4 linked regions of the Oreochromis niloticus genome follow. The protein of the gene in region 1 purifies or fractionates together with the protein of each later gene. This does not show direct contact. Links are inferred from orthologs where the notes say so. Each region holds a gene or a part of one and is shown on either strand. Other genes may lie near its edges.

What was found.
Region 2: the proteins of rad18 (region 1) and shprh purify together in Homo sapiens (affinity purification with western blotting; 3 studies listed by BioGRID and IntAct, with this or other methods). This does not show direct contact. The link is inferred for Oreochromis niloticus from reciprocal best matches to the Homo sapiens genes RAD18 and SHPRH.
Region 3: the proteins of rad18 (region 1) and polh purify together in Homo sapiens (affinity purification with western blotting; 7 studies listed by BioGRID, with this or other methods). This does not show direct contact. The link is inferred for Oreochromis niloticus from reciprocal best matches to the Homo sapiens genes RAD18 and POLH.
Region 4: the proteins of rad18 (region 1) and slf1 purify together in Homo sapiens (affinity purification with mass spectrometry; 4 studies listed by BioGRID and IntAct, with this or other methods). This does not show direct contact. The link is inferred for Oreochromis niloticus from reciprocal best matches to the Homo sapiens genes RAD18 and SLF1.

The regions. Positions count from the first base shown.
Region 1 is NC_031970.2:22,246,692-22,253,784, reverse strand, and holds the start of rad18 (E3 ubiquitin-protein ligase RAD18), read right to left. Parts: upstream 3,025-7,093; 5' UTR 2,889-3,024; coding exon 2,838-2,888; intron 940-2,837; coding exon 861-939; intron 302-860; coding exon 240-301; intron 24-239; coding exon 1-23. UniProt on the Homo sapiens protein: E3 ubiquitin-protein ligase involved in postreplication repair of UV-damaged DNA. Postreplication repair functions in gap-filling of a daughter strand on replication of damaged DNA.
Region 2 is NC_031983.2:20,481,476-20,488,770, reverse strand, and holds the start of shprh (E3 ubiquitin-protein ligase SHPRH), read left to right. Parts: upstream 1-4,285; 5' UTR 4,286-4,432; intron 4,433-7,295. UniProt on the Homo sapiens protein: E3 ubiquitin-protein ligase involved in DNA repair.
Region 3 is NC_031978.2:15,456,877-15,464,244, reverse strand, and holds the start of polh (DNA polymerase eta), read left to right. Parts: upstream 1-4,344; 5' UTR 4,345-4,520; coding exon 4,521-4,657; intron 4,658-5,768; coding exon 5,769-5,903; intron 5,904-6,089; coding exon 6,090-6,322; intron 6,323-6,451; coding exon 6,452-6,630; intron 6,631-6,710; coding exon 6,711-6,814; intron 6,815-6,907; coding exon 6,908-7,027; intron 7,028-7,270; coding exon 7,271-7,368. UniProt on the Homo sapiens protein: DNA polymerase specifically involved in the DNA repair by translesion synthesis (TLS). Due to low processivity on both damaged and normal DNA, cooperates with the heterotetrameric (REV3L, REV7, POLD2 and POLD3) POLZ complex for complete bypass of DNA lesions.
Region 4 is NC_031977.2:14,783,347-14,790,602, reverse strand, and holds the start of slf1 (SMC5-SMC6 complex localization factor protein 1), read left to right. Parts: upstream 1-4,239; 5' UTR 4,240-4,500; coding exon 4,501-4,509; intron 4,510-4,601; coding exon 4,602-4,687; intron 4,688-4,921; coding exon 4,922-5,045; intron 5,046-6,724; coding exon 6,725-6,803; intron 6,804-6,982; coding exon 6,983-7,208; intron 7,209-7,256. UniProt on the Homo sapiens protein: Plays a role in the DNA damage response (DDR) pathway by regulating postreplication repair of UV-damaged DNA and genomic stability maintenance.

The sequences.
Region 1 (7,093 bases):
CTCAGATCTGCTTCTGTCATTTGCTAAAAGAAAAAGAAGTGAGATATGAAGAAATTCTGCCTATAGGGTCCAAAATCCAGTGATATTTACAATTAAAGTTGAGCGAGACAATGTTTAAGTGATGTTCTTCAGTGAATTACTTAAATAATTTAATCAATATTTACTGATATTGATTAAGTCTCTTTAGGTAATGTCCTTAATTATTATGTAATTCCATTACAAGTCATGGTCATACTTACTGTATTGCAAACTGGACACTGGAGCTTGTAGGAAAGAAATTTCCGGATGCACAAAGAACAAACTGCAAAATAAAATGCAAACACAACGTTTCGGTATATTTAATCAATTACAAAAAAAGTAAAGTGGTACCCATTTAATCAGGTTGTCCTCCTCTCCACTACCAGTAAAGTTAGTTCATGTCAGCCCGTTGACATTTTATCACTCTGAACTATTTGACGTGTGTGACAGTTTTTAATTAAGCAAATTGTGAAATCTGAAGAGTGACAGAGAGAGGGTGAAGTGTTAAGAGAAGATGAGAAAAATAATATGATGTGTGCAGCTCTACAGTAAACCATTTTAAATCGTTAAAAATAAAACAATAGAAATGTAATGTGTGCCCGTCAATGTTGCGTTATGGTAGACGATCAAAAATAATTAATGTAAATATACTTGGTGATCTGCCTCTGCAATGTGTGGGATATAGTGCATAAACCAACCAAAGGACAGCTGATTGTGCTTCAAATTCAGCTTTTCTGAAATCATTTCAGCTCAATTTTGCTCGTTTCAAAAATCCACTCAGTGTTCTTCCTTTTATTTGCATGAACATCTTTTATGACTGCATCTGCACTGCTATTACTTACAATTGTGTGAGCATTTTGTCATCATTGAAATATTGAGAAAGTCGAAGCAAATAGGACACCGAAGCAGCGCATCGACATTCTGTAGATGGGAGAGAGAAAAAAAAGAGCTTAAAATCAACAAATACCTGGCAATAACAACAACAACAACAATATATTTTACCTACTAAAAGTATGGCTGGCTCAAAGCATCCGTGCATGAACCTTTGCACTTTTAATCATATATTATTTTAGGATGAAAATAAATTTAAAAAGAGATTCAGGATAGCAAAAGTTGACAGATGAAGATGTTACTCACTGTATGATAAATAAATGTAGTACTCTAGCGTTGGTGAATGTCCTCGTTTAGCAAAGGATTGCCCATACATTTCCATGCAAAGGATATCATTTCCTAAAACCAGTGTATCCAACTAAATAACAGGAAACTGTCTAACCCTCCTTTCTCATGTAGAATGTTCTCTTGTAAGAATGTTCAGGGTTACACATCTTTTTTTTTATGTAATGTTTGCATAGCATCCAAAAATACAAGTTGTCCTTTCTTTTCTGACCGCAGACAATACTGTGCACACATTCTGAGTCATCCCTCATGTCTTTATTTTTTGCTTCCATGGAGCCAGGCTTTCATGTGATTTTTTTTTTTTTTTAAACTGTGTTGAGCAATAGACTCCAGACTTTCTGAAGGCCTTTCAAATTTTCCTCTGGTCATTCACAGCTTTGTCTCTCATTTTCAGAGGAATGTTTTACTTTTCTTCTTCATTTTTAAGCCACTTAATATTGACCTATGAATAAACCAAACATAAAAATCCCACATAATTCAAGGGATAAAACAGATTTGTTTCTGCAAATTGACAGATAAATTACCACAGAACCAAATTTAAATTGCATATTTAGGCACAATGTTAGCAGCCTGCTGGATAAGGTCATAATTTGCTCCCATTTCTTAAGCTGAATCTATGAAAAATTATAATTATAATTTTATATAGCACTGTTCTACTGTAAGTGCCTTCTATCCAACATTCACACGCCAATGGTTACATCAGCGAGCAACTTGGGGTTAGTATCTTGCCCATACAGACTATAAGAGACAGGGATCAAACCACCAACCCTCTGATTATTAGATGACGTCCTAAGCTACAACCCACAACAAAACAGTATGTTTGCACCAACTACTCACTTTCCAAACCACTATTAGGAAAATGAACAAGAAGAGGTCAAAATTAGAACTGGCAGGTAGGGGTGGGAGCTATATCCTCAAGATGATAACATAAAGGAAATTTGCAATAATATTTCTGACAATACACCAACAAAATAAAAACTGTATGCCCTTTTATTGGTGACTGCAGCTTCCAGGCTAGTGCTAGTGTCTCCTCCTTGCATGCCTTTATAGCCTTGTCTTACTCAATGGTGTTTTTGTAGTGAAACAACATCGTTATTTCCACCTTTATCGGGATTAGTTTTCTTGCACATTTGCAAATTATTGCGCTTTGCTGGCGATTGTTCAATACCCTTTTTTTTTTTAAACTGAATCATGTAAATCGTCTCTTGCTATGTTTAGGCTAATTTTGTTGTGTACCAGAAAGTAAAGGCATGCTGTGGTTCTATCACTGATACTGTAATATGACACAGCCATCTACAGCAGATGAACAGTAACAGATACGAGGAGAAGGGAAACCCAGCGAAGACCTGACGCAAGACCCGTGAGATTAGTTTCTTTTGATGTTAAGGAGCAAGGGGTTCTAGCTCGTGTGCTGTGATCAACATTAAAGTTAAATTAGACTGACTTCTGTCATTGTTGCACTGTATTTAAAGGTTAGCAAACGTTTCATTACTAACTGTAAGCACGTCAGTTATTCACGTGAGTTATAGAGAAAAGATTGAACGAATGTGATGTAAGTGTAACTGCTGGGGTTTTCAGTTAGCTGGGGGCTAACAGCCAGCATGTCAACACAACATTTGAAATCAAACAAAGCTACAACCTACTTTCAGACATGCGAGACTAGGTGGTAGATCCGCTTCCATCTCGAAGGCCATTTTCTCCGAAATAACGCGCAGATTCTTGCCAAAGTTAGCCTCAGCACTTTTTTTTTTATTCGGCGCTCAGCTGTGAGAGTCCCGCTCACAGACCGGGATGCGTCTGACGTCATTTGACAACTTCCGCTGAGCCACAAATATGTAAAGATTGTAGCTGCGCTCGTCACTCAGTCAGAGTCCGGGTTACATTGTTTCAGGTTTAAGTTAGAGGCTGTCTTTATTGTTTAGACTTAAAGGCATAGCAGCACTTGTGCTGCCTCGTACCTTTCTACAGGTGCAGATTCAAGAATATCACATTTGATATACATGCATTTTATACACAATGTTTTACTGTTTGACCAATCATAGAAAATAACAACAAAACAAGGCTTTTTTTCCAGTTAAAGTTTGACAGTGGGAGCAATTTTTTCCAGAATAATTACAATATATGATGGACAGCAGCTTTTTTTAAGCTTTTGTCTGTCTCTTTTTCTGATGTACTTTGTTATATGATTTTATAAATAACTTCCCGTTTCTACTGAGTTTAATATCTTTAATGTCAAGCTACAGTATAATTTAGCATATTAACAATATACAATACACATGTACTAATAATTTTAACCAGCTTTAGTTATTTTGTAGCAGGACTTTGCAGGACTCCAGTGTAAGATGCCAAAATCAAGCCCTTTCAGTTGTACTCATTGAAGCAGCAGAGCCCCGGCCAGATGCAAATCCAGCAAATCCCCACTCTAGCAACCTCTTAGCAATTCCAGCCCCTGCAGACACCCACCCAGAGCCCTCCTCTCGTTTCCACCTCCCAACCCCAGAGCCAGGATCTGGCCTTCACCAGCAGGAACAGCTTTATTCTGGACAATCAATTGATCTCTTCTTTCTCTCCTTGGCCATCTCTCTTCAACCGACAGAAGTGGTGGGGGAGGATGGTGTGGTCTGGGAGCAGGCCATGCATAGGGGGGTCTTAGCTGATGGCACTGAGAGACACGTGCAGCAGGCCCCTCTTATAAAACAAAAATGATGCTCACAGAACGTAACCTGAAAGCAGTTTATGTTACCGGTAACCTGACATTCTCTATCACCATGTTTCAGGTCAATGTAAGCTCACCGGTATATTATGTAAAATGCTGGATGTTTCACCTCACATTGAATGAGAGGTGAATCACCTCCTCAAAACTTAAAGAAGTCCAGTCACTTTCATTCCAAGCTCCTTAAACTACCATGACATGGATGACAGAGAACTTACACACACATTGTGTAATGCTCACTCACGTTCACATTCAGGAGATTGTTAGACTCTCTGTATCAGGAAAAGGTATGTGTGTTGCTGTTGTACTTAACAGTCCTGTGATAGCCACTTATGACTATATGTATATATTAATGAGGCTATGTTGCACATCTGTTGCTATTATGCAATGACATAAGATACCTCTTAGTAATATACAGCACATTTGATGCATAATTTGTGACATCAACAAATTTACCACTGGAATAAATCAGTTTAATTTATATTATGGATTAAACATGAAATACATGAGAAATTTTATATGAAAAAAAAAATCAGTGGACACTGAAGGATCCAAAAGTCATAAAGATTAAGTTTTTCTGGCTCCAGTGGAGGGAGCTAATAGGAAAGACAGCCACTGCTAACTCCAACCAGGGAATCTGACAGTGGAAAATGACTATTACAAAATAAATGACCTACTTGTGGTGGATGTAAAAGGACAGGCTCTTCTTTTGTGGTGTCCACACCATGACAGACTTGTGTTTTCAGATGACACTAACACAAGTGATTCTGGATGACAAGTGTAGCATGAAAAAAATGGTACAACCAGTTCTTAGCTTGCCTCATGTTTTATTATAATAGTTATTCATGCCTTTGGCAGTTGTTTTCAGGACATTGATGGGAAAGAAATAAGTTAATCTTGTTCTTACAGTGGAGAATGCTCAGCAGATTTTTCGGAGGCTTTAAATGCAGACAATGAATATCATTTCCCTTATTGAACTTTAGACTAGTAAGTGCTTACCAGAGATCGAACAATAACCCACGTAACATGCAGTGTAAACCCAAAGAAGTTAGCACAACTTCAATAAATTAATGCAATCGATTGCCCTAAGGTTTTTAAGTTTATGAACTTAAAAGTTGAAGCTTATAAGAACTCCAATATTTTAATTACATTTGACTAAAAGTAAAATGTTTAATGATTATATTCACAAATATTTATTAAATACAACTTAAAGTCTTGATTTGTGTCTCTAATGCGAATAAGGTGGCATAACTTAAAAGGAATGAGTACAACAGAGTCACTTTTTGAGTTATGAAAACTGCGTATTTATTGTTCACTTTCATCATCTTTTTTAATTAAACAATAGTCAAACATCAACATTGAAAACTCCAAAACAAGTCATACAAAACTATTTGTATAGTAAACTATATTTAAGAATTATTAAAATAAATCATTTTAAAAAGACTTTTAAGTGCTAAAGACATGGTGTGTGCTTTTGAATATCTCAGTAGCAGATTCGATTCATTACACTGTAAACTGTTGAAACTCTAAAATATACACATACCACTGTCCTGGTTCTGTTATTTGTTAATACCTGTTTGGTTAACATTCATATTCAAAACAGTGACTATTAGAATTCTATTTCAGTCCAGTTATTGCAACAAAACAATGAAAATAACCCCACCAAAAAACAAAACAAGACACTATGCTTGGATACAGTGATCCGAACACTTGAGTCTCTAAGTTGGGGAACAGTTTACCAGCTTCCAGACTACTGTACTCTGATGTAGTGTAAAGATCACTCCAATCATTATGAAGAAGTTCATCAGCAGTTCTTGGGAGACCTCCATAAAGTTGTAACGGACTAGGTCGTTGTCATGGATTACTATAACAAAAAAAGAGGAGGTTCAACAGGCTCGTCCTGAATGAGTGTGAGTGTGTGATCGCAAATTAATCAACTATTTCACAAGATGATTTTATGTCAAATCATCTCTCCAATTCATGATCACTAGTAGTGACCCAGACGATTCTGCCAATCATCTGCTGTAAATCTTTGCATCTTTGCTGTGTTTTATACACTTAACTGAATGCACTTAGACTGAATCGTGAAGGTTTGGTTAACGTTTTTCTTTAAGTAATAATGTTTAAAGAATCCACAGAGCAAGAGACGCAGTGAGAATATATAAACTCCACACAGAAAGGTCCCAAATTCAAATACAGGACCTTCTCGCTGTGAGGCGACAGTGCCATTAACTCCACCATGGTTAACAAAAAGTTGAGCAACTCTTCCAACTCTGACATTTCGCTCTGACTGTGTTTTACTTTGCCTCTTATGGGTGTACTGTACCAGCAGACAAAATAAAATTAGCCCTGTCAGGCAGCTTTAGCTTCAAAATAACAGAAACTGGTATCTGCAGAACAGACAAACACAAAGTAAATGCTTTTCACTAATAAGTCATGAGATAAGATGCTGACCTTGGAAGTAAAGCCACTGCTTCGATAAAGAGACATTTCCAATTTGATCAGTACAACACAGGGCTGGATTTGACCTGCCAGCTGGCAGTTTGTAGCTTGTGGCCATTCCAAGCCACAGTGTCATTGATCATGTATCCTTAACAAGGCACTAAGACCTTTGTAATGCTGCACTTTGGGCTTAATTGTCCCCAGGACATGCATATATGTTGCTCTTAAATCTGAAGCTCAAGTCTGAAAGGACAGTTTCAACTATCCTTGTGTAAAATAGCTGCCATTATAAACCGGTGTCTGTTTTGTAATCATTGCAGTTTGATTAAATTCTGTTGTAATGGTTCCCTGCTGTTATTTGTCAGATGGCTCCAGCTTATATAGAGAAAGTCAGTCGAAGTGGAAAGAATACAGTCAGAGTCTACATCAAAATTCTGATCATGGGGCAACTTTTTTGGATTTGAATTGGATTATTTTGGGATTTCAGCCTTAAATGCAAGGATATCAAGCAAATAACAATGAACACAGTTTAACCTGAAATCTTTGTGATGACTGAAAAAACTCACTAATAATTCAGAACTCTTACAGCTTACTGGACTCTTACAGCCGCTGTATAAAAGATATTCAATGATTTAATGACCACCTTTATATACACAGATGTTGAGCATTAATCACAGGAAGTGTCATGGGAAAAGGTCATACCTCTGTAATAGGTTGCTATCTTATTTTTTCTTCATATATACA
Region 2 (7,295 bases), on another chromosome or scaffold:
GAGAATGAATTGACTGAAGGAGAAAAAATACTTGCAGATCAATCATCTTTCATCCAATCACACCATAGCTAAAAATGTAAAAATATACAGGAGATCCAACCAGGCAAATACTTTTTGGGAGGGAATAAGTACATATCTAAAGACACTACATGTTCACGTGGAAGACACAGAGCTATTTGGAAACTGAGAATTTTAGCACCACGGACAGCTGCCACTGTCCTAGTTGAGGGTCTCAACTGATTCTACATTTATACCTTTGACTGTTTGTTGAGCTTCTACCTCGGCATCATTCCTCATCTCTGATGCCATTTCAAAGTGGAGACATTGTGCCAAAAATAAGAGCAAAGCTCAGGATATTACGCTATAACAATATTTTCTGTATTCTCCCCATTACTAGTCTCATCTCTATTAATTAAAAGTGTTTGAAATCTAACTTGACTTTTCTCCAAAAGTATTTTAAGGTGTTAATAAACAAGTATAATCTAAAAATTGCATGACCACGTTTGAAGTAGTATGTATAAATACATTTTTTATATTAAACATTTTTTAATGAAATTTGGTCCAATTTTTAAATGATGTAACTTTATCATTTAATACCCTGCAATCAACAATAAATATATGTACAAAATTGCATGTTCAATTTCATTAATTGAGAACTGAGAAGATAAAGGCTGTATAATTATGCTGCCCTATTTAACCTAAATCTAAATCATCCTTAACTGACCTGTTTAAGAGGTTACAACCCTGTAATTCAGCGATTTTTATGTGTATTTAACACAGAGCTAGAGACCTCTTCAGTCATTGATAAAGACCCCCGTAGGATCCTTTGGGTGATGAAATATCCTGTTCACACTTACTGCTCTCTTACTTCATATTAAAAGTGTTAAGTTAGTGTCAGTTTCAGGACAAAATGCTTGCTTAATGGTCTCAGCAGCTTTAAAATCCATCATGATTATCAAAAAATGAAATAATGAGTGCTATATTTTGAAATTATTAAAATTTAAAGCCCATTTGTTCTACGTTTTCTTCTGAACAGTCAGTTGATTTTCTGACATTTAGTTGGTTTAGATGCAAAAATAGAAGTGAGTGAACATTTAAAACTATCACAACCTGCATGTTATTGTGTGTGCACTCCATTACTGCTTTTTAGAGTAACAAGCAGTTTAATGTTTAAGTCAGTCATTATTACTCATGCCACGGACAACAAGCTAGTTACAAAAGGGGTTTTAATACATTTAACAACTGCATGATCTAAATTACAAGAAAATATCAGTTCACACTGTAAAGAAGTCACCATGTTGTGTTTCACTATATCAGTGAACCAATCGAAAACATGGAACATGGAACTGCTGATGAAAGAGTCATGTCTGGATCTTGTACAAAATACGGTATATTATTTTCTTTAAGTCATGTGAGTAGAGGGCCAGTGAAGGGGGGTGTTCAGTCAATTCAGGGAATCAACTTCATGCAAAGACTTCAAGTATTAAAAATGAATTAATATCTATTAATATCCATTATGAATAAAGCTATGCAACGGTAATGAAAAAATTTAAAGTATTCTGATTTAATAATTTTTTTTTGGTAACTGAATTGAGCGAAGATCAACGGGGACATGGTAATTATTTTAAAAAATAAATAATCTTTGATACATGTGGTTGTTTTCTACAGTTGAGGGAAGTTAAGTGAGTAAAACAAGCCTTTGGAAATAAGTATTGGACTATTTTGACAAAAAATAAAAATAAAAAATCACTATGGCTTGAGCCAGAAATGAGCTATCTCAAACATCACACACTAATGTGTGCTAATATTCGCTCTGCCTAAATACTCTTTATTATCGTTTAGCAGCTGTCTCCAGGTCCTCAGCTGCAGCTATAAAACGGTGTCATTCACAGGTCATAACATGCAACATCATCAGCTGCATGCACATGCATGTTTAACAGTCTTACAGACATGATTTCACCTACCTGAACCAGGTAGGGACATAACCGGGACATAGTGGGTCTGTGTCTCCTCTGAAGCCGCCGGTCTGGACTCTTCTGCCTCCGAAACACGGTGGGACTCTTCCTCCCTCCCTCTCTCCCTCTCTCTCTCTGCACTGGTGATAAGATGCTCCCTTCTTCTCCTCTTCCTCACTGCATTTTTAAATCGGGTCAGACTCACTGCAGTGTCCCTGATTTAAAACCAGAGTTCATGCACATCACAAGGGTCAGTGATGCGTCGATTGATAACATTTTGGAAGAGATCGGGGTGAGAGTGAGGCTCCTGAGAAGCATATTTTAAAATAAATAAATAAGTCGGGGATAGGTGGCGATTTGACAAGCTTCCATTAAGACCCCCTGGACCAAATCAGCGCAACGTAAGAGACTGTTTATAGGCAGTCGCTGACTTTATGTAAACTTCAAAGAGACTCGTCAAACTTCAGTTTAATTTTTCCCTCCTGCGTTGTGTCTGACACGGACAGATGTGATGTACTTGTTATTCACTGCTGCAGCTGTCAAAAGAGAGCGGGCTCTGCTGCCACCTTGTGGTTAAGAGGTGATGCCACTGCTGCAACCTCACTGAATAAAAATTTACTCAACCTTAAGAAGTACCCTTGTAAACTTAATGGTTAGGTCGGAAAATAAGCAACCAGTACAGCAAAGAATTTGGCATTGCATGAAATCTCTATAAACCTACGGTACTGTGCAAAAATGCTGAGTGACTCTTCTTTTTTCTTTTTTTTTTTTTTTAAATATTTTGCTTCCAATGAGCAAGAGTTTCTTGTAATTTTTTAATGAAGCCTTCTGGGGGTCTTTTAAAGTGTTTTTTTGGACATACACTGCTTTTCGGCTCATTTACAATTCAGTGTTTTTACCTGAGAATTGCCAGAGGAATGTCTGTTTTTTGTAACCACATAAAAATGACATATGAATCATTCAAACATAACAAAAAAAACCACCCAACTCAAAGGATGAAACACTGTTGTGTCTACATGTAAGAGAAAACTTAGCAAAGAATCAAATTTAATTGTATCTTTAAGCAGTTTGTTACCAGCAGCCCATTAGAAAAAGGTATAATTTGTGTCCTGGTCCAAGTAGTCTTTTTTCCCACTTCTTTCTTTTCCTTTCTCTTGCCTGCTGCTCTCTCTCTCTCCCTCTCTCTCAGGTGGAGTTGTGGACCTGCTGTTCTCGCTGGCAGAGCTTCTGATTTTTTTCAGCCCTCATACCAGTTCCCTATCTTTTCATCAGATGCCAGTGCTTTAAATGATCATCTGCCAAAAAAGGATTACCGGTATTTAACCTGTTCTGAAATGCTTGTTGACCTATAATCAAACATGTTTCTTATCATTCATATTAAGTCATTTTGAGCCAGAAAGAAAAAGTAAAGTACAAGCTGTAGTTTAAGCATGATGATGATTTTTATGCATCCTTTAAATAGTATCACTAACTATAAAAAAACATTTTCAGGAAGCCATTCTTAAGGAGGGGAAACTGGGAGAAAATGGCAAATTACGCCAGAACTGGCCTGAAAATCAATGGAAACAAGTCTTATTGGGTGATGAATCAAGATTTGAAATTTGGTTCAAACCATCACCAGTATGTTTGGAAGAGGTCAGGGGAGCAGTACAACAGTGAGTGTTTACAGCCTTTTGCAAAATTTGGTTTAAGCCAGTGGTGTTGGAGATCTCTTCAAATTTGCTGGAATTAATAACACATAAAAAAAACACACATACAGCCAGATTTTAATGCAACACGCAATGCCTTCTGGAAAGCATCTTATTGGCAACTGCTTAATTTTTCAGCATGATAATTATTTTTAAACACAATGCCAATGCAATACAACCATAGCTGAAAAAAACCCTGCAATAGAACCTATCAGTCATGGACTGGCCTTCCCAAGACCCTGGACATCAACATTATTGAAGTAGTGTTGACAGAGAGTAGAATGAAAGCAGCAAACAAAGAAGGTCTTTTAGTGTCCTTGAAGAAACTTCGAAAACTATTAAACTATTCCCTAAGACTACTTGAAGAGATGACAAGAAAACTGAAAAGAAGAAAGAGTTCAGGCTGAGTTGAAGAATAAAGGTGGTCAAGTATTGACTTTCAAACTCGTTAGACTCGAACAAACTCTGTTTTTGTCTGATATTGGCAATATATATTAAAATGAAAAAATGCAAAGAAATGAAAAAAGAAAAACAAAAAAACAATCATTTGAAGCAAATAATTTAATCTATTGTAAGTTTTGAGTCACATAAATTTGTGTTAGATAAACTTAATCTGACAGTTTCCCCTGCTTTGACGTCACTTCCTGCATTTAAAAATGGCGGACGTCAACATTGATGTCCGTAGATGAACTGTGCTGCGGTTCAGACGGAGTGTTTGCAGCTGCTTCAGCATGAATCGATTTCTCGTCGAGCTGTAATAACAGGAGCAGTTTGAGGCAGTCTCGACAAGTAAATATGCTTTTTTTCTTTTACCTTTTTAATTTGCTTGTTTGCAGCCAGGGGATGAAATGTGGCGCGCTGTGCGAAAGTGCTCTCATTGTGTAACACTGTTTATACCACAGACTGTTGTGTGCTGATGGTTTCGCTGCTGACTGAATTCTCAGAGGATAAACTCTCCCCGCAGGGAAGGAGCTAATTTTAAAACTGCTGTTTGTAAGCCGTCGTGTAGAAGATGTATAAGTTAGCCAGCTAGCAGTGCATGTAGCCTGAGCCATAAGTGGGAAACACAGATACAATGTAGATGAAGTGAAGTGACAGGCTCCAGCTGTGGATGCAAACTTAAACTCTGACAGTTTGTCTTGTGGGATATGTCTCATTCGCTTTGATAGTTTAATACCACAGTAAGTACCTCATATAGTCTCACATGCTGCTTCCATTGATATGCTATCTTCCAGTATGAGCCTTGTTGACCTGCTGGTAAATAAGAAGTCTGTTGTATCCCATAAGAGGCCTTTACTGTGAAGCAGGGTTTCATCTTAACCAGGAAACTTCAGGGTCAACCCTCAGTTTTCTGTACTACAAAGGCAGATCACTTCTTACTGGGATCAACATCAACATAGTAGCTTATGGTGCCAACCTAAATAAGTGGACACGTTAAAGTCATTTTCCGGATTAGAAATCAACATTCATGATATCACCACCTATTGTTCTCTGGAGAACGACCTCACCATTATTGGAACAACCCTTGAATTCCATTTGTCCATCCATTTTCTTCCACTTATCCAGTTCTGGAGATTATCCCAGCTGTCATAGAATAGAATAGAATAGAATAGAATAGAATTAGAATTAGAATAGAATTAAACTTTATTGTCATTGCACATGTCACAAGTACAAGGCAATGAAATGCAGTTTGCATCCATCCAGAAAGTACTTTAGACGTGATATAGATATATTACAGAATATGGATCTATTATAGGTATGTTACAATGTACACGGTATGAAGGTATGTTATGAATATGCTATAACTATAAGTATGTACAGGCTGTAGTGAGTTTACAAGCTATGTACAGGCTATAAACAGGATATAAATATGATTAAAAATATGAAAACTATACAGAAATATGAAATATGAAACTATACAGATTGTAGATATACAATTGTGAGTATTAATAAACAGTTGTAAAACTATAATTATTACTGTACAGAATGATTGTCTATACTATTCATATGGTGAGAAGCAGGGTATACTAGATCGCCACATTATTGTAGGGTTAACACGGAGATAGACTCACATTCACCAAGTAACGTAAGGGATGTCTTTGGACTGTGGTGGGAAGCCAGAGTAAATGCAAACTCCACACAGAATCCAGACTGGATTTGAACCCAGAACCTTCTTGCTCTGAGGTGATGTCACTAATCACCACACCATCATGCCACCCAACATTTGAGCACTAAACATCAATTTAATGAAATACTTACTTATGATCAATATTGATCCCTGGCTCAGTCAGAGACACAAATACATGTGGGTTGTGTCAGGAAGGGCAATCAGCATAAAAACTGCCAAACGTGGCGTTATGCTGTCATGAATAGGGAAGCAGCTAAAAGTAGCTTTGTTACTTAATTCTAATCCATCAGACTCTCCTGTGTCTTAATGTCAGAGTATTTTGGGTATGCTGAAGTTGCACAGGACCCAAGTTTTCCCCAAACAAAATAACGTGGCTGAATAAGAGATCAGCCTTGAACATCACAGTTGCTGCCAACCTCATAATAACTGCTCACAAGGGATATCCACAATCTGTCGTTGAAGTGGTCTTATTATATTTAACTGTTGCAATCATGGGTGCTCTTCTTAAACAAAAAAGTTTATAATAATGAAGAAAGCTTATGTACAAGTAATCCCAAGGATCCAAGAGGTTAAACTTTTTAAAACTCCAGTTTCTAGTGGGTTTTTTCCTACTTTTGACTCTGTATGATGCCTCTTGCCCTACGGTAGCTGGGATAGGCTCCAGCCCCTCGCGATCCTGACAAGGATAAGTGGAAGAGGATGGATGGACTCTGTATGATGTCAGCATATTAATTCTAAAAGGATAATCTTAGACACAAAGCTCTAGCTGTGAGAACAGAAGCATTCATGCATGTACAAACATACCACAGTATTAATATAAAAGTCTTTGTAGAAACATTATTTTTGCTGTGGATCTACCAGCAGTTGATTAATGCTGTGCACGCTCAGGGACTCTGAGCTGGACACTTTCCGACAAAGTCATCTGATAAAGTCAGCTAAAAAAGGTTGTACCAAGGCACAGTAATAAATAAATATGGATTAAGTTGAAATGTGAATTATGCAAGAGTACTAGTAGAGTATATTAAGTCCTGCATAAGTGCATGTAAAAATGTAATGATTTAAGGAGGGATATAGGCTAAAAGGCAACATAAATAAACAAAATGTTTGGTTAGTGGAAAATTGGATTTTACTTAATTTTGTTTGTGTAAAAGAAAAGCATCCTCCAGCTGCTCCCGTATTTACCAGGGGTTGCCATACTCGGTAGCTCTGCATATTTAATTTGACAGATTTTTTGCACTGGATGCCCCAAAGGGATTTGTGTGTCCTCCGGAGATCTTTCACTCATTAGGTGAATGAGTAAACCACTATACTGTGGAGCCATGGTCTGTATGAAGGAAAGTTTTTATGATTAAGTTATTGTGTTCATTAGATAAGCAGCATTGTTCAGGGAAACTCAGGAAGGGTATTTTCTCTCAGCCTACCAAATATAAAATAGGTATTTGGCATATGCTACTGATGTGGTTATGAATGAATAAACTGCGTGGTGTTTATTTTTTTTTTGGTGAGCGTTTCATAATATTTGCC
Region 3 (7,368 bases), on another chromosome or scaffold:
AAAAACAGTCCTGAAATCTAAAATTATGTTAGTTTGAATTAGTTTGAGCTTTTAAAAATGGGGGACTATGTATACAACAGCCGTAATTCCCAAACAGTTAATGCAAACATTTTTATTAAACCCTTTAAATCACAGCTGAAACCACACGTGAATCTCACCTTGACCGTTTGATTTTTATGTATTGGTGTACTGAAGCAAAATAACAAAAATGAAGTCATTCTCCAAATTCTTATGGCGCTAACTCTACACCAGCGATAGCAATGACTATAGATTTATTACCAAATATTGGGAAATAAACTGCTGTAACTTACAACAGTGGCATCACACCCCTCAGATCTGGTGTTCTCTGAAACATATAACAAGACTGTCAAAATACAAATACAGTATTTTATCCCAGAATTTAATTAGAAAACTCACTCACTACGCATTTTCAACCTCCGTGTGAATAATGTTACAGGAACGATCAGTAGCTGTAGGATGAGGACAGATGTGAGAATCGTCATCTTAGTGGAATTGGAAGATAAAGGTAGATGAGGATAAAACTGACATGCTTTTTTCAAACAACAGAAACCAATTCTAAAACTGAACAAGATGAATACTTTTCCAGGAGCAAATTTGATCTTTAGTTTTTGTTTTGTTTTGTTCTGTTTTGTCTAATACTGGGGATATGCAAATTGTTAAAAGTGATAGACCTCTTGTATCCATCCTCCAGGCTTCCAGCATCAGCTTCCAGCCTGGAGGATGGATACAAGAGGATGGATGGATACAAGAGGATGATTTGTATGATTGAGGTTGTTGGCTGGGCTCTATTTGGTTCAATGTTTGTAAGGGAGGAGGAATGTTGGCGAGTGGTTGAAAGTGTCCTTGTGAAGTTCCTTGGATCAAAGAATGAATAAATTACACCCATTTATACCTCTCGGATAATGTTTTTTATTTTTATTTCAAACTTACCAAATTATTCACAGGTTATTTTTTAAGGGGCTTATGTCAAGACAGATGAAAATCAGTCACTTGGATTTTTTGAATTTTGAAAGTGATCAAAGCCAAATAAAATCAGCAGTGTCGTAAAAAGGTCATTTGACTGTTTACAGCCATTCTTTTCACATCATAAGACCATCATAAGATAAGTTGCATTGCTCCAGTGTCCCACCACTGCCTGAAGCTTAATTTCTCTGATTTGTTAAACCTTTGTGGTGCCATTTTTATGATAATTTGCCAACTTATGAAAACAGAAAGGTTATGTTAATATCTTACTTGTATTGGTGTGCAGTGCAGTCGTACCGGTTGAAGTAACTTCATGAACTATTATGTGCACTGGCATCTGTAAGTCTCCAATGACACACCAATACCAGCCGCTGCTCTCTGATCTCAGATCGCTCATAGTCACAGTGAAAAGATTAGGGACACTCGCATTTATTTTCACAGCTGTTCCATCTATTGATCCATCTTGATTGGTTACACAGCTGCTGCCCAGTCTACACCACATTACTCCCTTTTCTACTGGATAGTTATAGCAGCACACAGCAGTCATACTTTCTCCTTCAAAACCTACAATTTCCTGTTGGGTTACATTTAGACTTTTCATACCTTGAAGGGAAAAAAAGATACAGCCATTAGCCATTTTTTCTGCCAGGTAGTTCACTGAAATGCCTTGTTTAAAACATCAACGAGGAATTTAAAACCCTGAAATAAGAGAGTTTACTGTACCTGTGCTGACAGACAGATGAAAATATTGTTTATCATCTCTTCCATTGCCAGTCTCTATAGCACACCAGAAATACTTGTTGACTGTGAGATCATTATTAATAGTCACAGTAAAGATTCTTTGGTTTGTATCATTCGAGATGGAAAACTTTCATGATGTTTTCATTTGGCTTGTTTTCATTTCTTGAGAGCAAACTAACCACCAGTATCCATTACACAAGTATTTCACATGATTTCTGTAGAGTGGCTCATATTGACATGGGATAGAGACAGAACCCAGTTTCTTCACTGACACTTTTTTCACTGTAATAATTCCACAGTGAATTCCTAACAAATTAAAAGAAAATAGTTAATACGAGTTAATACCTTAAAATGTCCCCTGTATCACTTTTAAAATTCAAAATCATGGCCTAACAGTAAAATATTAAACACAATATTAAACGCTGATGATGAACCACTAGTGACTCATCTCTTTAAGTTAAATATTTACCAGCTCGAGGCTTATCTTACTTACCCAGCAATCCAGTGAGCAATAGGTGATAAATATATAGAAGAACCATGTTGGTACAGCTGCTGTGAGTGAGTGACTCCTTTCACTATCACAGGGAAAATTTCAACCTGGATTGCTTCCTCATTTTATTTATATTTTTGACAGTGTTTCTCTTTTCAGGGCTTTTACAATTGACTGCAATTCACCCAAAACTATCAAAAGTATATTTCATAATTTGCCTAATTTATAAGTCACGTGTTAGTTAAACATTGTTCAAAACCTCTCACTGGTTACTGTAAGGAATAAACTAGTTTGTCTGACTTTTTGAAATCTATTAACATTTTATTATTTATAACAATACAACGAGACAAATGAATAGATAATGATTTTAATGAGGATTCCCATTTGAGAGCCATTGGATCAAACCTGTTTTGATAGTTACAATAGCCCCTAACTACATCTGTTGGAATTTATCTAAATATATTTATTTCTGCAATTTATTAGTAGATCATTTGTGTTGTTTCACTATATATGTTTATTTTTATGTCAGTCATTAGAAGAATAGGTGGACTTATATTCACCCATGGTCTCTTACTGAGTTCTGTAGTTCTACCTCTTACTGGAGCACTCTGTAGACTGCCATGCAATAACTCTGTCCTCAGCAATCAGATCTTAACAATCTTGGGTACATCTGCCCTCAGAAAGAGACTGAAGTAACTCTAACAAGTTCTTCAGCATTCTTGAAGCCAAACACCTTCTTTACTTACCACTGTTGCATGAACTATACTCTTCATTTTTGTTGTTTCTGCAAAAAGGTCTTCTTTCATTTTACTTAAGGATAGCCCACAGATTCATAAAATGTTTACTGTGGCTTTTAGAATATAGAGAAGTATAGAGAAGGCCAGAAGAAGTTGTGCTGTTCCTTTGTGCATCTAGAGAAAGGTCCGAAGAGGGGAACTGTAGCATCGCATGAGAAAGTGCAGAGGGTTAGTAAGGAGGAAGCTAATGCAGCTATGAAAAGGATGAAGACTGGAAAGGCAGTTGGTCCGTTGGATAGACCTGTGGAAGTGTGGAGATGTTTAGGAGAGAGGGCAGTGGACTTATTCACCATATTGTTTTCCCACACCTTGGACAGTGAGAGGATGCCTGGGCGCTGTTGAAAAAGGAATGTAAAAAAGGAGTGTACTGGTACCAATTTTCAAGAATAAGGGGCAGAGCTAGGTTAAGAAGATGTAGTGTAGATGGCAAAGTATAGAGAAGGTCAGGAGTTCCACTGGTGGTCACTAAAGGGAGAAGGCGAAATACTTCAAAATTACACTATTAATACATTGCATTTTCCATATTTTGCAAGTGTTTTATCACTATCCTTAATGACTAAATGCCCTTCCACCCTTACTTTATATTATGGATGCCCTTGTATACACCCCCACAGTGTTTCTTGTAACTTACACATTGTGTATATAGTGTTTGTATATATTGATGTTTTGAAACTTCACTTTCTTGCACTTTTGTGGTCTTGCTAGCTAATTTCGCTGTGCAGGCAGTGTTGCCAACTCCTCAGTAAGGAAAATCGCTATTGGTTGTCCTAAAAGTCGCTAGAAGGCGCTAAATGACGTCATCACCTAATTTGCATAATTGGTCATGCTAATATAATTGTAACCTATGTTGTTGGAGAGAGAAATAACATCGTGGAAGAGACATAAAGTGAGTAAAAAACGTCCTAAATGCATTTAGAGTTTATTTAGAACTACAAATTAAATTTCTTTTAGCAATTATTGTTTTTTTTAATGTCACAATTCCAACCCTGCTCCTTCACCCGGGCTTGGACTGGCAAAAGTGATCCGAAATAGGCACTCTGGTGGAGTTACTTTGTGTGTGTGTGTTTATAAGTAGTTTTAAACCTTGTGATCTACAAAACAGCATATGAGTAAAAGAGTAAAAGAAGAACTGACTGTGTTACAGCACCCGCTGCTTGTTGAGAGTAAAAGCGATACGTGCTTTCACGTCTTTTTTAGCGACTTTTTTAAGAAAAAAAGTCGCTAGGGGGTCTGAAAACTCGCTAAATATAGCGACAAAGTCGCTAAGTTGGCAACACTGTGTGCAGGCAACTGTTTTTCTTCAGTGGTGACGACATTAGCAAGGGACTTCTTCGTCGACTGTTGATGACGTATTTATGTAACCCTCGAAATGCAAAGCGGTCGGTGTGTATTTTGGCGGTCCGTTCAAGTCCACCGAACTTTCAGTTCTGATGACAGCTGTGAATTAACAGCCCCGCCAAGAAGCGGACATATATCTTAACACCACCGATAGATTTTCATCGTTAACAATGGAGTACGGGAAGGAGAGGGTGGTGGCGTTAGTAGACATGGACTGCTTTTACGTGCAGGTGGAGCAGAGGCTGAATCCAGCTCTGAGGAATACTCCCTGTGTGGTGGCCCAGTACAAGACGTGGAAAGGAGGCAGGTGAGTTTCTGACACAGAGATGCTGTTTTTGTGATCGACGCAATTGAAACACCTAGCCGAGCTGCCGTTACGAAAACATTTTTTTCTGGTGTTCCTTACGCTGTTATGCATACACTCAGTGGACAGTTTTTTAGGTACATCCTGTTCGTACTCCTACCTGCAGAACTGCCTTAATTCTTTGTTGCATAGAGTCAACAGGTTGATGTAAAAGCCAAACGTCGAGTGCAGTGAACTCACTGGCATGTTCAAGAAGCCAGTTTGAGATGATTTGAGGTTTGTGACCTGGTGTGTTATCCTGCTGGATACAGCCATCAGAACATGGTTATACTGTAGCCATAAAGGGATGGACATGGTAGGCCGTGGTGTTTAAACAATGCTCAGTTTCTACTAAGGGGCACAAACTGTGCTAAGAAAATATCCCCCACAACATTACACCACCACCACCTCCACCAGCCTGAATCTGAACTCATCAGACCAGGGAACATTGTCCTATCAGTCCTCTCTTGTCTAATTTTGGTGAACCCATCTGAACTGTAGCTTTAGTTTCCTGTTTTTTAGCTGACAGAAGTGGCACCTGCTGTGGTCTTCCGTGGCTGTAACCCATCTGCTTCAAGGTTCATCGTTTTTTGTGTTTAAAAATGCTTTTTTTGCATAACTTAATTGAGTGGTTATTTGAATTTGAGTTCCTGTTGCCTTCCTATCAGCGTGAAGCAGTCTAGTCTTTGACCTCTTAGTTGCACAAGGCACTTTCACCCAGAAAACTGCTGGTTTATTTTCTCTTTTTTCAGACCATTCTCTGTAAACCATAGAGTTGGTGTTAGGGGAGAAAATGCCAGTAGATCAGCAGATTTTGAAATAATGAAATACTGGATCAAACAAAATGGTCACTAGATTACAGAGAATTTAAACATTCCCCTCTCTTTTTGTAACCCACTGGTGAATTCGTTCCCAGGACTGCGTGTGTTCAGTTGCATTGACCATTTGAATTGATGTCTCTGTGTTGGCAACTCACCCGCCTTCATGTCCCACAAATAACCGCTTTGACACCTTCTAAAATGTTTTCACACTTTGATTGTTTTGTGATCCTTGACTAAATGTTATTGTTTCTTAGTATTATAGCTGTGAGCTACGAGGCCAGGGCCCATGGTGTCACCAGGAACATGTGGGTGGATGATGCAAAAAAACTGTGCCCAGACCTCCAGGTGGCACGAGTGCGTGAGTCTCATGGCAAGGCAGACTTGACAAAGTAAGTGCTGCTGCTCATGTACATCCCCAGAGACTTCCTCTTTTTAATTGGATCAACATTAAATCTTTGGATCAACACTCGATCAACATTAAGTCTTTAATTAAATTTACGATTATTTTTTAAATTGCCTTAAATTCTTGTGGCCAAAGCTGTACTGCAAATAACTTCTTTCTGTCCCCTTTATAGTTACAGAGAGGCGAGTGTGGAGGTGATTGAGGTCATGTCTCGCTTTGCTGTGATTGAGAGAGCTAGCATTGATGAGGCCTACATGGATTTGACTGCCGCTGTCCAGCAGCGACTGAAAAATATGACTGACAAACAAATCGAACCTTCGCTCTTGAGGACTACCTACATCCAGGGGTACCCGCAAAGTTCACCTGCAGCTGAAGAATCTGCAGAGGATACTGTGCTGGATAAAGGTAGGCTGTAAGCTAACTTCAGTTACCCAATGAGTTGTTTCTGCAGTTGATACAGAAAGCTGTCGAAAAATAACAGCTAAAAAACAATGGCAGGCTGTATCCTCCTAATAACATCATGTTTGTGCTCAGAGGAACAGCGATCCAGAGGTCTCCAGCAGTGGCTGGAATCTTTAACGTTCCCGTCAGTGGGTGAGCAGAGCTCTGCAGAACTGCAGCTAACTGTTGGAGCACTGATTGTTGAGGAAATGAGAGCAGCTGTGGAGAAACACACAGGTTTCCGCTGTTCTGCAGGAATATCACACAATAAGGTAGGATAAACTCCTATTTAATAGTCTAAGAGCGGTAACTGTGTTTGCAGAGATAATCATTTACCGCTCACTTTTCCAAGGTATTGGCTAAACTAGCCTGTGGTCTGAACAAGCCCAACAGACAAACTGTTCTTCCTCTGGACTCTGTGACAGAACTTTTCAGCAGTCTCCCCGTTGGCAAGATGTAAGTTTAGTTATGTCATTGCTTACATTGACAGAGTGGCAGCTAAAACTTCAAATTAAACCCTGTGCTCTTGTATTATTTATTTCCCTGCAGCCGTAACCTGGGGGGTAAGCTGGGAACTTCAATCACAGAAACTCTGGGAATAGAGAACATGGGCGATCTCACTCGCTTCTCTAAGGCTCAGTTGGAGCAGCACTTTGGAGAAAAAACAGGGTGAGAGAGCCAGAAATGCCTTTAAACACTGTCATTTTGATAATGGTGACATAACTTGCTTAAGAAAATAATCACATGGTGTTATTAAAGTAATAACAAGTAGTTTTGCACTTTTAAACTTCCTTAAACATTTCTGAACTTCTGAACTTGAACTTCTGCTTCAGAAAAGAAACTTTGTAATTCTGGAAACCCTTCAGTACTACAGGGACCTTAAACTTTATCCTGCTTCCTTGTTTAATGTAGTCAGTGGCTGTATGACTTGTGCCGGGGGATTGATTTTGAAGCTGTGAAACCAAGACAGCTTCCAAAGTCCATTGGCTGCAGTAAAAACTTTCCTGGGA
Region 4 (7,256 bases), on another chromosome or scaffold:
TGACTCATGATCTTGACTGTCTACCTTATCACTGGCTTTGTAAGAGGCACAACTCTTGTAAAAATGTATTGGTCACTTTTGTCTTTGCTATAGGGAAATATGTGGATACAATATCTTCCTAAAATATGCTGTGTTAAACCATCCAGATTTCAGAACGCAACAACTTTTTCCTCAACCTAAAAAATGCCTATGTGATTAGCCTACACAGAGGGAATGAATAATACATGACTTCCCAATCTCCTCAATAACCAAATATTACTTGTTTTTGTTGTTGTTTTGTTGAGTAGTTACCATCATTCAACAGTATTAAAGTACCCTGAGCAATGAGTCAATTACAACCCTTTAAAAAAAAAAGACAATATTGTGACACTGGAGCAGATCATATATCTTAGCTTATTGCAAATGCCATGAGTTCAGCAAACTTAAATACTGCGATCCTAAAGATGCATTTAGTGCACATGCACAAAAAGACTGAATGTTGAAACATGATTACTGTACAAATGACAAAGATGAGACAAAAGCAAATATATTAATATGATTTAAACTGGATGAATGCAAATGATTAAAACTGGCTGATATATGTTGCAGGAAAAAAAACAAACAAACATGAAAAATCATTACCTTTGAGAGGTTAGTACTAGCAATTGCTTTTGCTTTTACACCACTTTTTAACTCATAGATAAATGATCATTTATCAGAATTATTGTTTTCCAATGTCAGTTTGTTAACTGGGGCTCCAATAAAACCTGGTTCTAACTGATAGAAGCTGGATCATCATGGTTTACTCCCTTAAACATACCCAGGGTTGCACATCTGTAAATCCCTAATAAACTGGGTCCCATCTCAGAAGCTGAGAGAAGTGTAATAAGAGATGAAACCCACTGTGCCAGCTTCCTGCTTTAAAAGGTCTGGAAGCGACTCAGAAAAGTGGCTGTCAGACTTAAGAAAAAAAGGCATGTAATGACAATCTTAAGATGGAGAAAATTAACTGAAAATATGACGATGATGATGATGATGATGATGATGATTATTACCTCACACAAAGAGGTTATTTTTTTGGTAGCACTTGCAAGCCCGGGTCATTCTGTCTGTAAACAGTTTGGCAGTTTGAAAAGTTTAAACTTTGTAATGGTGTAGAGTTGAGTCGTGTTAACAATCTATTGAAATTTGGCTTACATCCACCAAGGTCCTCAAGGTCAACTTAATGATTCACTGGTTGAAAATGGATAAAAAGCCTTATAACTTGCATAAGGCCTTATATAAACTATAATCTTTACAAGTGTGGTGTGTATTGTAAATCTATAGAAATTACAACATAAAGATTTAAAATACCACGTTACATTTGACTTCTGACCTCTCCTTCAAGGTCAATAGACTGATCTGAAGGTGAACGTTATATTGCTATACAGAGCTATTTAAAATGGTTTCTTAATGCCATTGTTTGAATTGACAACATAATAAAAACAATTTAGGGAATGATATGTGGGGATTCTAAATATCAAGTTAGTTTGAACTTCTGACCTCTTCTTCAACATCAAATAAGGTCAAACTTTCAATTTCTTTTATCTTTAAAATCATGCTTAAAATTCTGCTGTCTTTGTGGGTATTGGCAACATTTAGAAAATGATACTGAATATCACATTATAGTTTGCATTCAATATCATGTCACATTTGACCTCTGATAATAATAATAATAATAATGATAATAATAATAATAATGATAATGATGGTAATAATTGCTGTTCTGGATCCCAACAAAAACTGTGTTCAGTGCATTATAAATCATATAAACCTATATTTTATTCACAGTAGAAAACAGGAAATAACAAGTGTTTAAACTGATCTAATGTACAATTTCAAGAAAAATATTAGTTAATTTTGAATTTGATGGCAACAATCTCTTAAAGAAAAAAAGTTGAGATGGGGGCAACAAAAGGCTAGCAAAGTAAATGATACTAAAAAGAAAAAGGAAAATTTGCAACCAGCTTGGTTAACTGGCGACAGTTCAGTAACATGGATGGGTATAAAATGAACATCTGAGAGAAGCAGAGTCTCTCAGAAGATGAGCAGAAATTCACCAATCTGCAAAAAACTCTGTGTACAAATTGTGAAGTTTCAGAGAACTGTTCCTCAGGTGCCACTTTAGCTCAGTGGGTGAGCAGGTGACCACATGCCAACTCATTGGAGTGCTGGGCACAGGTCCAAGTTTGAGTCCAACCTGTGCACCATGTCTTCCCCCTCTCTGTCTCTACTTTCCTGATTATCTTCACTACTCCACAATCCAATATTCTTTTTTAAATGCCCAAAAAAGAACAATGTTAACTGCAAAGGCCTGTATGCCTGCTGTTATGGAGGTGCATTAGTACCTATAGAATTGGCAGCTTACACATCTAGAGAGGCACCATTAATTCTGAAAGGTATATACACGTTTTAGACCAACATATGTCCCAAACCCTAACCCCAAGAAAACTACATACTGCAGCTATGACATCAATAACATGACTTCAAAATAGAAGAATCTGGGTGCGGAACTGCCTGCAGACCAGGCCTTTCAGCAACTGAAAACATTTGGCATATAATGAAATAAAAAAAATACAACAAAGAAGACTGTTGAGCCAGAATTCTCTGTCAGATAAAACTGGGACAACATTCCTCTCCCAAAAGTCCAGCATCTCTCATCATTTCCCAAACATTTATGGACTGTTGTTAAAAGAAGAGGGGATGCTACACAGAGGTAAACATGACCCTGTACCAAAATTTTTTGAGATGTGTTGATGTCATCAAATTCAAAATGACCTTTTCATTCTTCTTTAAATGATACATTTCTCAGTTTAACATTTGATATGTTTTCTATGCTCTTTCATAAAACAAAAATGTGGGTTTATGTGATTTACAAATCATCATGTATCATCATCTGTTTTTTATTGACATTTCACACAGTTTTCCTATTGTCCAGATTGGGTTTGTAAATGTTACAAGACTCATTTCCAGGATTCGACGGATAGAAGCTGATCACCGTAAGAGTTGAGCTGGTTACTGTCACTTGCTCTTTATGGGGGTGTTTGGCCAAGCACTGACACATTCTGACCTTCCAGATCACACTTTTTTTTTCTTTTTTTCTTTTTTTTTTTTTTTTTACATCCTAATAATTTCATCCATACAACAAAAGAAAGGGATAAAGACTGCCTATCATATTTATAAAACCTCATCTAAAAGCAAAATAAGCAACTGTAACTAGTTAACACACTAAAACCAAACTGTGCCAAAACATTTATCAATTAATGATTAACTTATTAACAGAATTTTCCTCTCGTTATTAATTATAATTTTATGATTACAAAGCAAAGACTTAGCCATATTGTTGTTTTGATAATGAAAGAAAACCACAAAGAATACAGACAGGCCCTGCTGAGACTGTTGACTTTTACCTGCTTGTCGTAGTTCCTGCCATACAGCCACACACAGACCTCTCAGCTCACAGCATGCAAGGAAGTGGTACTGCATTTGCTTATTTTGACAGTTTATCTGTATCTTAAAAAAGGCCGTTTCGTGTGTCGCATAAAACAAGAAAAACCCGAATGAAACCACTCGACTGACTCAGCGTTGCATGTTATGCGTGTCCTACCTTACAAAAGCTCTTACTTAATCCATCCGGTGTTAATCCATTACCGGCGGGGAAAATGTGACCGACATCATTTGTAGTCACTTCATGCTGATATCTGTCTGCGACAGCTATTTGTAGCTAATAACAAAAACCGAGACAATTCAACAGCCAATAAAAATATGATATTGCATTACTATGACAGGATATCTACCGCTGTCACCAAATATTGCACTAAGCAGTTTATGTACACAGTTTCCCGGGCAGCCGATATGGCAGAAGTCGCATTTCACTTTTATTGGTTATCTATCGATAAATATCCCCGTTACTCAACCACTGCTGCACAACATCTAGTTATTTTTGGCGATTTCCGGGGACTGAAAGCGTCCGTGACAACAACCTGGAAGTAGCTCTATGAAAACTTCCGCTTGGTGGGAAATTCCAACTGACGAATCAAATGGTAGGGAAACGCTTTCGCATTCGGGAATTAATAGCATAATTTTTACATATCAAAGATGATATTTTATTTAAAACATATATTTAATATATTCTGACGTCTTTTTTAAATCAAGTATATAGCCGTTTGTTATTGACAATGCATGTTAAAAATGTTACGATATGAGAGATTCCCCCCCTGTCTTTCCAAAACAATTGGATTCCATAAAGCTTCTCAACCTTGCAAGTTGGGTGGTGTACTCGCGTGTAATTTTTGTCATTAAACTTATCGTTTGGCCGTTATGTAAAGAGCGAATGCGCCATGGATTTTTGTTTGGGACGGTTAATGTAGCTTCGGATAAAGTAGCCACACACTGGTCGAAGTTTATTCACTTTGTTGGATGTTTATGTCAGTGACGAGAGTTTGGCGCGCCCGGGTGTAATTGGAAGTTACCACTGGTGGTATGACCGAGGTACTTGATCAGCTGTGCCATTAAAACAGTTGACATTGCTTATTGAATAGAAAAGAACCGATATTTTTTCTTGTTTATTTATTTCTTCTTAGTTAGTCTACTCTGACGCTGCAAAGCAAATGATATGCCAGCAAGCCTTAGTTAATTATCAGTTGAATTCAATTTTGTCACGATTTGCGTAAGTATTGACTTTTTTTGATGAATTTTGTAAACGCTAATATCCTTGATGTGCAGTTTGAACAGTACATTGTTCTTCCTGGTGTACCAAGAGTGAAAGCTTATCGTGGAAACAATCTAAGTCGTCTAGTCAAACAAGAACTGCAACATTATATTGGCCAATGAATGATGCAATCTATCTTAACTTATTGTCTCCTACAATTTAACGAAGTACTTAATTTTGGCTCTTCTTCAGTTTCTTCGCGAAGATGGAGACCTGCACACACGTCTTCCAGATTTCTGGGATCAAAATCCGCGATGAGAAGAGAGTTCTGATCCAGGGAATTCAGCAGCTGGGTGGGAAATACGTTGGTGGCTCAGTGAGTAAGATTGAGATCCCTCAGTAGATTTTAGGGAAATGCCACGTGCACTTGTGCCCAAGCTGAACAGGTTTGCAGCTTGTGAATAATTTCATTTTTCTTCCTGATGCATTTAGTCTTTATTCAGCCTGTGCGATGTAAGAAAACATAATAATTAGAGACTAATCATAAACTAAAGTAATGAAGAAAGTGTTTAGACACCAATCAAAAAGGAAATGCACTTGTTCCTAAAGTAGCTGACTGAATGAATTACTTGCTGTGCTTGCTGTCAATCATAATTAGTTCTGTGGAAGTCTGTGTTCTGTGTCTTTATCTTGACAGTCCAAGTAAAGTTTTCAATTGTATTTTTATATTTATATACTGCTTTGATTATCCCTCTATACAAATGAGAACAAAACTATTAGCCCCCAGTGTATTTGTAGAATTTCAATTCAAGTGTTGTTAAACAGCAAGGATCTTTTTTTAACACAGCTTTTCCAAGCATCCTAGTTTTATTTTGGATCTTATTTCACACACAGAACCAAAATTATTGCACAAAACCCCAAAACTATGAGGGTCAAAATTATTAGGCCTTTGTGCAGGTCAGTCAATAGCGCTAACTTTGACCTTTGGTTTGCGTCGTCATTATGTTGAAAGACGAAGCAGCAAACCAGACCCAGTTCTGCTGCTGACTGCTTAAGGTTTTCTTTCAAAATCTTCATATCCTTTTTTTTTTTAATGATTCCTTTCATGGAGATGAGATTCCCACTTCAGGACGCACTGAAGCACACAGCATAATACTCCCACCACCGTGTTTCACTTTGGGGATAGTGTTCTTTGGGTTGTATGCCTCACCCTTCTTTCTCCAAAGATACGCAGGGTCTCTCTGGCCCTGGTTTTGTCTCATCTGACCAAAAGATGTGCTTTCAGCATGTGTAGTCTTTCTGCAAATGTGGAGTTTTTCTTCATCTGCAACCTCGCAGTCCATTCCTGTGCAGGTGTCTAATGATTGTCTTCTTTGAGTATACAATTTACAACTTGGCTAAGTCATTCACTAGTCTCTTGGAAGTTGTTCTGGGGTCTTTAGACACATGGAAACACTGTGATGACTTTGTATCCATCTCCTACTTTGTCCATCAACAATTCTTTTTCTCAAGTCTAAACTGTTTTCTTTCTGTTTTTGTCATGAAGCTTTCTCCTGTGACAGCTTAAACTCTTGCTGAAGTTTTTATACTGTGTGTAAGTTGGAAGGTAGCTTTCAGTTTTCACATGATTTTACAAATTTTGAGCATTTGAGCAAAGCTAGTGTAGAAATGCTGTTAAAGAAGCACTTGGGAAATTTCAGACAAAAACTTTAAATGTCAAAGGGGAGCTGATTATTTTTGCCCTGATTTGCAGCTAAATCAGATAGTACAACCTAGCATCCTCATCTATTTTTGAAAAGGTGATTATGACTTGTTGTTAAATCTTAAAATGGCACATTATAATATATTTCCTGCAGAAAGTGTTTTTTTAATCATTAACTTACATGATGAATATGAATAAATGAACTGGGCATCCACCTAAAAGTGGAACACTGTTAGTTGCACTGAACATCTGTTGTTGATTTCAAACAGCAACTTTTGCATCATTGACAAGCTCCACTTACAAAAATGTCTTGTGATGATTACATATAACCACCTTAAACTACCTTCTTATAGGTATATCAGCACACTTGCACCCATCTCATAATCCCTCAGGTGTTGTCCAGTGAGAAGTTTTTGGCAGCTTGTGCTGCAGGTGAGTCATGATGGCTGTGAATTTCATGTCGGTGGATCTTTGTTTTTGTTGCTATTTTAGCCTACATACATTTAACGTAGCCATAAAACGCTTCATTGTTTCTTAAGTTTTTTAAGTCCTAGAGGTAACATAACACGTTTTATTGAATTTCTTCCCTCTTGCTGCTCGTCTCTTGTTAGGAAAGTGGGTTGTAACTCCAAACTACGTGCTGGACAGTGTTAAGAATGGCTCCTGGCTCGCAGAGGAACCCTATGAGGTGGCCATTTCCACAGGTTCCTCCGCTGCCTTCTACCCTGTCAAACAGTGGAGAGAGAAGGTGGCTAGTGGGAGACTGAAAGGGGCCTTTCAGGGCTGGAGGGTGCTCCTTATGGTCCAAGGGTCCACACGCAGAGCAATGTTCAAACGGTTAGAGTCACAAGCACGTGTTGTCTTTTAACCCATGTTCGAATAAAA